Macaca fascicularis: one gene and its partners. The protein of the gene in region 1 purifies or fractionates together with the protein of each later gene. This does not show direct contact. Links are inferred from orthologs where the notes say so. Each region holds a gene or a part of one and is shown in the gene's direction. Other genes may lie near its edges. The genes, in order: PCNA, POLN and ING1.

Evidence for each region.
Region 2: the proteins of PCNA (region 1) and POLN purify together in Homo sapiens (affinity purification with western blotting; 4 studies listed by BioGRID, with this or other methods). This does not show direct contact. The link is inferred for Macaca fascicularis from reciprocal best matches to the Homo sapiens genes PCNA and POLN.
Region 3: the proteins of PCNA (region 1) and ING1 purify together in Homo sapiens (affinity purification with western blotting; 3 studies listed by BioGRID, with this or other methods). This does not show direct contact. The link is inferred for Macaca fascicularis from reciprocal best matches to the Homo sapiens genes PCNA and ING1.

Annotation. Positions count from the first base shown.
Region 1 is NC_088384.1:82,160,879-82,164,630, forward strand, and holds the start of PCNA (proliferating cell nuclear antigen), read left to right. Parts: upstream 1-1,235; 5' UTR 1,236-1,395; coding exon 1,396-1,616; intron 1,617-2,328; coding exon 2,329-2,426; intron 2,427-2,517; coding exon 2,518-2,585; intron 2,586-3,752. UniProt on the Homo sapiens protein: Auxiliary protein of DNA polymerase delta and epsilon, is involved in the control of eukaryotic DNA replication by increasing the polymerase's processibility during elongation of the leading strand.
Region 2 is NC_088379.1:2,363,063-2,366,714, reverse strand, and holds part of POLN (DNA polymerase nu), read left to right. Parts: intron 1-2,230; coding exon 2,231-2,731; intron 2,732-3,652. UniProt on the Homo sapiens protein: DNA polymerase with very low fidelity that catalyzes considerable misincorporation by inserting dTTP opposite a G template, and dGTP opposite a T template. Is the least accurate of the DNA polymerase A family (i.e. POLG, POLN and POLQ).
Region 3 is NC_088391.1:101,295,705-101,298,863, forward strand, and holds the end of ING1 (inhibitor of growth protein 1), read left to right. Parts: intron 1-690; coding exon 691-1,394; 3' UTR 1,395-2,525; downstream 2,526-3,159. UniProt on the Homo sapiens protein: Cooperates with p53/TP53 in the negative regulatory pathway of cell growth by modulating p53-dependent transcriptional activation. Implicated as a tumor suppressor gene.

The DNA of each region.
Region 1 (3,752 bases):
AATGAGCATGTTCATACACAGTCTTGGCTAGAATGTAAATTGCAAACTTTTAGAGATTTAGTAACATTTATCAAAAATTTAGCCGGGCATGGTGGCACATGCCTGTAATCCCAGCACTTTGGGAGGCTGAGGCGGGTGATCACCTGAGGTCGGGAGTTTGAGACCAGCCTGGCCAACATGGTGAAACCCCGTCTCTACTAAAAAAAAAAAAAAAAAAAAAAAAAAAAAAATTAGTCGGGCGCGGTGGTAGGCGCCTGTAATCCCAGCTACTTGGGAGGCTGAGGCAGGAGAATCATTTGAACCTGGGAGGCGGAGGTTGCAGTGAGCCGAGATCGCGCCACTGCACTCCAGCCTGAATGACAGAGCAGGACTCCATCTCAAAAAAAAAGAAAGAAAGAAAAGAAAAGAAAAAAAATTAAATGTGTACGCTCTTTGACTCAGCTGTATTACTTCAAGGAGTTGATAGCACCAAAATTGCCTAAGTGCTCAAAGGTGTTTGTAATTAACAGGAGATTGATAAGTTACATACATGTGATGCTATCTTTTAAAGAGGTACTGATATAAAAAAGATGTACGTGGCATAAAATTAAATGTACTTTATTAAGTACTTTTTCGAAGTGTTTACGGAATGAGTGCATTTTGAAAAAAAAAAGTGTATTCGAACTTTCAAAAAAGCTTTAAAAGCTTTATACAAGGAACGATTGAGTGATTATAAGAGCTGGCAGTGGAATGTTAAGAGGTGAGAGGGAGCTAAGTTTAACATAACTCTTTATGGTGTGACACTTAGGAGCGCATCACTTCTGTAATTGAAAAATAAAGTGCATATTTGCAGCAGCTGTACTCTTCAGGCTACAAGGAGGCTTTTCCTCCCGGTAGGCTGGATTTGCTTTTCACTTTCACTTTCGTGGCTGGAAACTTTCTACCCACGGAGCTGGAGGCTGAGGAGGCACCATAAAGCTGGGGCTTGACGAACCGGGGCCTGGGCCGGATCCCCACATATGCCCGGACTTGTTCAGTGGTCAGGTTCAGGAGTCAGGCGAAGAGGCGGGGAGACCTGCGGGACGCTGCCCCGCCCTGCACCCGCTTCCTCCAATGTATGTCCTAGGGGGCGGGCCTCGCGGGGAGCATCGGCACGATTGGCCCTAAATTCTAACCCGCCCAGGCTGTGGGCCGGGCAGCGTGGTGACGTCGCAACGCGGCGCAGGGTAAGAGCGCGCGCTGGCGGACGCGGCGGCATTAAACGGTTGCAGGCGTAGCAGACTGGTAGTTCTGTTTCTAGGTCTCAGCTTCTCGTCACGACGTTCGCCCGCTCGCTCTGAGGCTCCTGAAGCGGAAACCGGCTAGACTTTCCTCCTTCCCGCCTGCCTGTAGCCGCGTTGCTGCCACTCCGCCACCATGTTCGAGGCGCGCCTGGTCCAGGGCTCCATCCTGAAGAAGGTGTTGGAGGCCCTCAAGGACCTCATCAACGAGGCCTGCTGGGATATTAGCTCCAGCGGCGTAAATCTGCAGAGCATGGACTCGTCCCACGTCTCCTTGGTGCAGCTCACCCTGCGGTCTGAGGGCTTCGACACCTACCGCTGCGACCGCAACCTGGCTATGGGCGTGAACCTCACCAGGTGAGCCTCGCGGCGCCGAGAAACCGGCCCCGGCCCACCCCCACCTCCGGGGTTTGGCGGGATCGCTTCCGAGCCGAGCCCTCATTGGCTGGCGTGGACCATCCGCACCTTCTCATTGGCCTGCCATGCAGGGGGGTGGGGCCCAGCTGAGCGCGCGGTTCGGAAAAGCCCGCGCTGGCTGCTGCGCGAACCTGCTTTTTCGCGCCAAAGTCACAAAGCGGGTGGTGGCGGGAAAATGACTGGTTTTTCTGCAGTGCCAGGAACACTGCTCCAGAGCTTTTGCTCACTAAATCCTGTTGGCCTTGAATGGACGCTTTAGTTGTGGCTTTTTTGTTTCCGAGACGGTCTCGATGTGTTGGCCCGGGCTGGTCTCCAACTTCTGGGCTCAGGCGATCCTCCCGGCTCAGTCGCGATTGACTTTAAATGCTTTATAATGTGCCCTTGCGAGAAAAGTGTCAGCCTGTCATCCTACTTAGTGGCAGGAGATTGTTTCTATCCAGAAGGGAAACTGCTGGTGGTATTTTAGTATAAATACTGCCAGATGCATCCCAAAATGTCTGCATTAATATTCGCATCCTCCAGCAGTGCAATTACCCTCCACCAGTTCTGAGACGGCCTATGGGTGAGAGTGGTAACCCCTTCTAACTGCATTAGAAATACAGACCTTCAGTAGATGGTGTTGATTTTAAACCATGTGTCTCCTGTCTTCTAGTATGTCCAAAATACTAAAATGCGCCGGCAATGAAGATATCATTACACTAAGGGCTGAAGATAATGCGGATACCTTGGCGCTAGTATTTGAAGCACCCAGTAAGTCGTACCTTTTTACTGAGTTATGAAGCTACAGAAGATCGAAACTCTGTGCCAGTGTTTCTCAACAGCATTTGCTTTTTTTTGGTAGACCAGGAGAAAGTTTCAGACTATGAAATGAAGTTGATGGATTTGGATGTTGAACAACTTGGAATTCCAGTGAGTATCAGTTTCTGATTGTAGCGACTGCTGTACACAGGCATGATAGTTATGTCATAGAATGTTGTTTATTTTTACAGACAGGGTCTTCCTCTTTTCCCCAGGCTGGAGTGCAGTGGTGCCATATAGCTCACTGTAACCTGGGACTCCTGGGCTCAAGCAATCCACTTAGTCTCCTAAGTGGCTAGGAAGGACTACAGATCTGTCCCACCACGCCTGGCTAATTTTTTTATTTTTGTGTGTGGGTGTGGGGGCAGTCTTGCCCAGGCTGGTCTGGAACTCCTGGCCTCAATGATCCTCCTCCGTCAAGATAAGTTAATATAATTTAAGCCTACTTCATAACAGAACTTTTTCTAGAAACATATCTACTGGTGCATGTTTTAAAGAGATTTTAGTATTTGGATAGTTGTTTACCACAAGTCTAAAACTCACTGGTTAAATTTATTGTTTACTGCCAGTTGTCTATTTGCATTAATTTCCATGAACCTCTTTTAAAATTTGCTTCCTTCTAGGATGGTTGGTTTTGTTTTGTTTTGTTTTGTTTTTGAGGCGGAGTATCGCTCTGTCGCCCAGGCTGGAGTGCTGTGGCCAGATCTCAGCTCACTGCAAGCTCCGCCACCCAGGTTTACGCCATTCTCCTGCCTCAGCTTCCCGAGTAGCTGGGACTACAGGCGCCCACCACCTCGCCCGGCTAGTTTTTTTTTTTTTTTTTTTTTTTGTATTTTTTAGTAGAGACGGGGTTTCACCAGGTTAGCCAGGATGGTCTCGATCTCCTGACCTTGTGATCCGCCTGTCTCGGCCTTCCAAAGTGCTGGGATTACAGGCTTGAGCCACCGCGCCCGGCCCGATGCTTGGTTTTTATTAAGTGGGTTTGAAAGCTATCTTAGAAGAAATGTATCCAGGTTAGGTTTATAAACACCAAAGGAGAGAAGAAATGTTGGAATGTTGAAAATGCCTAATATCATATTCTCTCGTTTTCTTTTAGAAAATAGTTAGACCTGCTTGCGCCGTCATCATTTCTGTGGCATACTCTAATGTTCTCTTACTTTATCCCTGGAGGATGAGGAGGAGGAGGCGCTTGTTCCCTGGGCAGTGCATTTAATAGCCATTTATTTTTTTTGAGTGGAGTTTGTTAAGAAATTACACGAGTCAGTAATCAGAAAATCT
Region 2 (3,652 bases), on another chromosome or scaffold:
CAAAATTATTTAAAATGTAATATTAATATAGTCATTCAAAGCAACATATATATATATGTGTGTGTGTGTGTGTGTGTGTGTGTGTATATATATATATATATATATAAAATAAGCCTTGACTGGGTACGTTGGCTCACACCTGTAATCCTAGCACTTTGGGAGGCCAAGGCAGGCAGATTGCTTGAGTCCAGGAGTTTGAGACCAGCCTGGGGAACATGGTGAAACCTCACTCTACTAAAAATAGAAAAATTTGCTGGGTGTGGTGGTGAACCCCTGTAGTCACAGCTACATGGGAGGCTGAGGTGGAAGGATCACCTAAACCAGGGACATGGAGGTTGCAGTGAGCTGAGATTGTGCCACTGCACTTCAACCTGGGCAACAGAGCAAGACCCTGTGTCAAAAAAAAAAAAAAAAAAAAGGAAAAGAGAAGAAACCTTAAAAATAAAGTGTTATCATAAATAAGTTCTATAATGAAATGGATAGGATTGCTTTCCCCACCTTGATTAGTTTGTGGATCTATGAATGTATATTGTACATTGATGGAATGAGAATGAGACAGGTAGAGAACTGCTATTGAGTTGGGTTTAATTTTTTTTTTTTTTTTTCAAGACAGAGTCTTGCTCTGTCACCCAGGCTGGAGTGCAATGGCATGATCTTGGCTCACTGCAACCTCCACCTTCCGGGTTCAAGCGATTCTCCTGCCTCAGCCTCCTGAGTAGCTGGGATTACAGGCATGCGCCACCATGCCCAGCTAATTTTTCTATTCTTAGTAGAGACGAGGTTTCTCCATGTTGGCCAGAATGGTCTCGAACTCTTGACCTCATGATCCGCCCACCTCAGCCTCGCAAAGTGCTGGGATTACAAGTGTGAGCCCCTGCGCCTGGCCCCAAAAATTTTTTTTAGTAGACAGATTAACATATTATTAAATAGTTTTGGTGATTTCATTTTCTCTATAAATGGTCTTTTTTTTTTTTTTTTTTTTTTGAGACGGAGTCTCGCTCTGTCGCCCAGGCTGGAGTGCAGTGGCCGGATCTCAGCTCACTGCAAGCTCCGCCTCCCGGGTTTACGCCATTCTCCTGCCTCAGCCTCCCGAGTAGCTGGGACTACAGGCGCCCGCCACCTCGCCCGGCTAGTTTTTTTGTATTTTTAGTAGAGACGGGGTTTCACCATGTTAGCCAGGATGGTCTCGATCTCCTGACCTTGTGATCCGCCCGTCTCGGCCTCCCAAAGTGCTGGGATTACAGGCTTGAGCCACCGCGCCCGGCCTATAAATGGTCTTTACTTGGAAGTTGTAAATTATTAATCTTCTCTCTTATGCACATATGCAACATATTCCTATCCATGACATCTCTCATTACGTGCATTGATTCCCAGAACAGGGGCTTGTTGGAGGCTTTTGAGCTTTTTTTTTTTGAGACAGAGTTTCATTCTTGTCACCCAAGCTGGAGTGCAATGGTGCAGTCTCGGCTCACTGCAGCCTCCACCTCCTGGATTCAAGTGATTCTCCTGCCTCAGCCTCCCAAGTAGCTGGAATTACACAGGCGCCTGCCACCATGCCCAGCTAATTTTTGTATTTTTAGTAGAGACGGAGTTTCACCTTGTTGGCCAGACTCATCTCAAATTCCTGACCTCAAGTGATCCACCTGCCTCAGCCTCCCAAAGTGCTGGGATTACAGGTGTGAGCTACTAGGCTTTTGAGCTCTTGATCCAGATATGCATGCCTACCTTGGTTGAGAAAAATCACTGCTCTAGAAGACACTATGTGGTTTCCTTAGAAGGTTTGATTATAGAAGCCGGGCGCAGTGGCTCACGCCTGTAATCCCAGCACTTTGGGAGGCCGAGGCAGGTGGATCACCAGGTCAGGAGATAGAGACCATCCTGGCTAACACAGTGAAACCCCGTCTCTACTAAAAATACAAAAAAAAAAATTAGCTGGGCATGGTGGTGGGCGCCTGTAGTCCCAGCTACTCGGGAGGCTGAGGCAGGAGAATGGCATGAACCCAGGAGGGGAAGCTTGCAGTGAGCCCAGATCGCACCACTGCACTCCAGCCTGGGCGACAAAGCCAGACTCTGCCTCAAAAAAAAAAAAAAAAAAGAAGTTGTGATTATAGATAATATGAAGATTGTGTCTCTGTATTACTTTAGACAAGTTTTTACCAGAAATTAGTTTGGTTTATAAATCTGTCTTAGGAATCCATATTCTAATGAAATATTTTCCATTTTTCTGTAGAATCTTAAATCTTTAAGAAGTCAGACATCAAGAGGTTCCGCTAAGCTCTCTCCTCAGTCCTTCGGTGTCAGACTCACAGATCAGCTATCTACTGACCAAAAACAGAAGAGCATCAGCTCATTGGCTCTTTCAAGTTGTTTAATTCCACGGTATAATCAAGAGGCTTCAGTTCTACAGAAAAAGGAGCATGAAAGAAAGCATTTCCTAATGGAGAATATAAATAATGAAAATAAAGGAAGCATTAATCTTAAAAGAAAACATATTACATATAATAATTCTTCAGAGAAAACAAGTAAACAAATGGCATTGGAAGAAGATACTGATGAGGCTGAAGCCTACCTAAATTCTGGGAACTCAGGAGCATTGAAAAAACATTTTTGTGATATTAGGCATTTGGATGATTGGGCAAAAAGCCAGCTGATTGAAATGCTCAAACAGGCAGCAGCCCTGGTGGTAACTCTGATGTATACTGATGGTTCCACCCAGTTAAGAGCTGACCAGGTTAGTAAACAGTGATGGTTTTTGTTTGCTGTCTTGACACCATAAAAGAAGCCCATTTTCTTAGTGTCTGATTTTGATAGGAGAGCTAGAAACAAGATTTTAAGGCTTTCCCTCCCCTCCAGTGGTAAGTGATTGACAATGGATAGCTCCCATCGGTTTCTTAGGAAACTGCAAAACTGTTTTCCAGAGTGGGTGTGCCATTTTACTTTCCACCAGCAGTGTACTAGGGTTTCAAATTCTCCACCTCCTTGTCAACACTTGTTGTTGTCTATTTTTTTTTTATTTTAGCCATTTTAGTGATTCTGAAGTGGTATTTCATGGTGGTTTTAAATTGTATTTCCCTATTACCTAGTGACATTGAGCATCTTTTCATGTGCTTATTGGCCATTCGTATATCTTCTTTGATATCTTCTTTCTGTTTTGATGATTTGATGAAATATCTGTTCAAATTTTTTGCCCATTTTAAAATTGGGTTATTTGTGTTTTATTTTGGATCTGTAAGCATTCTTTATACATTATGATACAAGTCTCTTATAAGATATAACATTTATACTTCTGCCAATTTCTGGCTTATTTTTAAAGAATTTATTGAGGGTGTCTTTTGAAGCACAATATTTTAAAAATTTGATCTCTGTTAATTTTTTAAAAAAATCTTTCCCTCCCTCCCTGCCTTCTTTCCCTTCCTCCCTTCCTTCTTTCCCTCCCGCCCTCCCTCCCTCCTTCCCTCCCTCCTTCCCTCCCTCTCCTTTCCTCTCTTTTCCTCTTCTTTCCTCTCCTTTCCTGCACCCATCACCCAAGCAGTATACACTGCACACAATTTGTAGTCTTTTATCCCTCACCCCCTTCCCACCCTTTCCTCCTGAGTCCCCAGAGTCCATTGTGTCATTCCTATGCCTTTGCATCCTCATAGCTTAGCTCCCA
Region 3 (3,159 bases), on another chromosome or scaffold:
TCACTAATACAGAGGAATAACATGCTAGAATAAATGTGGGGACTGAAACTGAGGACCTAACACAAAGTAGCCTGGACCTTTGCTGTTAACCCGGTTCTTTAAATCATAGAGAGCTATTATATACATTTATACACGTTCTCTAATTTAACAGGATATTCTAGATGTTGGTATGTTAAAATAGAGACCTTTTTTATTTGAAATATTCAAATAATTTATATTTTATCGTTTGTATATTGTGTATAATGTAATAAATACCATGTTTATATATAACGTTATATGTATATTAATAATTGCATTCAAATAGAAACATTTGAGTAAAAATGATGGCAGTATAGGACATAATCATTAATAGAAAGTATTAATACAGGTTGGGTCCCGAGCACTGCACCTCATTTAAATGTTTCCTCTTAATGGCTTCGGGCATTGTCACCCGTGCGTAGGAACTGTTCTGTGGTTCTCTCTGGGATGGCTGGAGCGGCTCCTCTTCCTGTGGGAGCTCTTCTGGCATTTGCATTTAGTTCCAGGGCACAGGAACAGAGAGGCCCTGGAGGGCCTGTGGCTGGTGGGCTGGGCAAGCCGTGCGCTGGCCCCTGGGCCCCCTGCCAGCCCTCTCCGTAGACCCGGGTCCGGGGCCGTGTGGGTTGTCCCGATGTCCTGCTCGCGAGTGATGCCTGTCCTTCTTGCCCCCAGAGATCTTGAAGGAGCTGGACGAGTGCTACGAGCGCTTTAGCCGCGAGACGGACGGGGCGCAGAAGCGGCGGATGCTGCACTGTGTACAGCGCGCGCTGATCCGCAGCCAGGAGCTGGGCGATGAGAAGATCCAGATCGTGAGCCAGATGGTGGAGCTGGTGGAGAACCGCACGCGGCAAGTGGACAGCCACGTGGAGCTGTTCGAGGCGCAGCAGGAGCTGGGCGACACAGCGGGCAACAGCGGCAAGGCTGGCGCGGACAGGCCCAAAGGCGAGGCGGCAGCGCAGGCTGAGAAGCCCAACAGTAAGCGCTCGCGAAGGCAGCGCAACAACGAGAACCGCGAGAACGCGTCCAGCAACCACGACCACGAGGACAGCGCCTCGGGCACACCCAAGGAGAAGAAGGCCAAGACCTCCAAGAAGAAGAAGCGCTCCAAGGCCAAGGCGGAGCGGGAGGCGTCCCCTGCCGACCTCCCCATCGACCCCAACGAACCCACGTACTGTCTGTGCAACCAGGTCTCCTACGGGGAGATGATCGGCTGTGACAACGACGAGTGTCCCATCGAGTGGTTCCACTTCTCGTGCGTGGGGCTCAATCATAAACCCAAGGGCAAGTGGTACTGTCCCAAGTGCCGGGGGGAGAACGAGAAGACCATGGACAAAGCCCTGGAGAAATCCAAAAGAGAGAGGGCTTACAACAGGTAGTTTGTGGACAGGCGCCTGGTAGTGAGGAGGACAAAATAAACCGTGTATTTATGACATTGCCGCCTTTGTTGAGGTGCAGGGAGTGTAAAATGTATATTTTTAAAGAATGTTAGAAAAGGAACCATTCCTTTCATAGGGATGGCAGTGATTCTGTTTGCCTTTTGTTTTCATTGGTACACGTGTAACAAAGTGGTCTGTGGATCAGCATTTTAGAAACTACAAATATAGGTTTGATTAAACACTGAAGTCTCAGACTGATTTCTTGTGGGAGGAGGGGGACTAAACTCAACCTAACACATTAAATGTGGAAGGAAAATACTTCATTTAGCTTTTTTATTTTAATAAAAGTAATATTACTTTACGAACAAATTTTTTTAATTGGCCGGTCGCCAAAAATACAGCCTATAGTAAATGTGGTTCTTGCTGCCATGATGTATATCCATATAACAATTCAGTAACAAAGGTTTCAAGTTTGAAGATTATTTTTTAAAATGGTAAATGGTTAAATTTTACATGATAGATATTTTATATTTTGGCCTGTTCCCCAAATGGCCATTTTAAAATGCTTGGGTACACTTCTCTTAAACAAGCGGTCTAGTCAAGGAACCTCAAGTCATGCTTTTGCTATCACGAATCATAGTGTAGCCATCTTTAATTTATATCAGATGTATAAATGTACATTTCCAAGTGAACTTGCACTTGCTATATTATGATTGGAAGTGCAGTCAGCAGATGCTGTTGTGAAGCTAATGTCACAATTATGTGCAAAGGTGTGCTTCCTGCTGTATGTGAGCTGTAAAAATGTTACGTGAAGAAATAAATGAAACTTGGCCAGTTTGTTCCTCTAGTAGTATATTTAATTTTGACATAAGTAACTTTTAAAATTTGTCTTAAAAATTTATACACCAGCAGTTTAGACGAAGCCTTAAGTAAATTTTGTATTATTGTTCTCACTTATTAATAATGAAGTTACCTAATTGCCAGCAAATAAATACGTGTCAAAACAGAATCTGTATTCAGACCCTGGGTCAGGAAATTACTGCCCACTTGTCAAGTCCAGTCCACCACTTGTTTGAACATTATATGGAGTTTAAATTCTAGTGTCCATAAATAAAGTTTCGGTGGAACAGAGCTGTGCTTATGTGCGTATGTATTGTCTGTGGATGCTTTTGCAAAATGGCAGAGTTCATTAGTTGCAACTGAGACCTTTTGAGTTGACGAGCCAAAACTATTTTCAGGCCCTCTGCAGAAAGAGTTTGCTGACCTCTGATTTAAACTGGCATCTAACATTGATCTGCCCACATATTGAAAGGGTCAGTGGAGTTTTCATTTGTTTTTTATTTTTTTGAGACGGAGTTTCGCTCTTGTTCCAGGCTGGAGTGCAATAGCGCGATCTTGGCTCACTGCAACCTCCGCCTCCCAGGTTCAAGCGATTGTCCTGCCTCAGCCTCCTGAGTAGCTGGGACTACAGGCACCTGCCGCTACGCCCGGCTAATTTTGTATTTTTAGTAGAGAACACAGTTTCTCCATGGTGGTCATGGCTGGTCTCAAACTCCCGACCTCAGGTGATCCACTCACCTCAGCCTTCCAAAGTGCTGAGATTACAGGTGTGAGCCACCGTGCCTGGCCGGAGTTTTAATTTCTTTCTTTTTTTTTTTTTGAGATAGAGTCTCGCCCTGTCTCCAGCCTGGAGTGCAATGGCGCGATATTGGCTCTCTGCAACCTCCGCCTCTCGGGCTCAAGCGATTCTCCTGCCTCAGTCTCC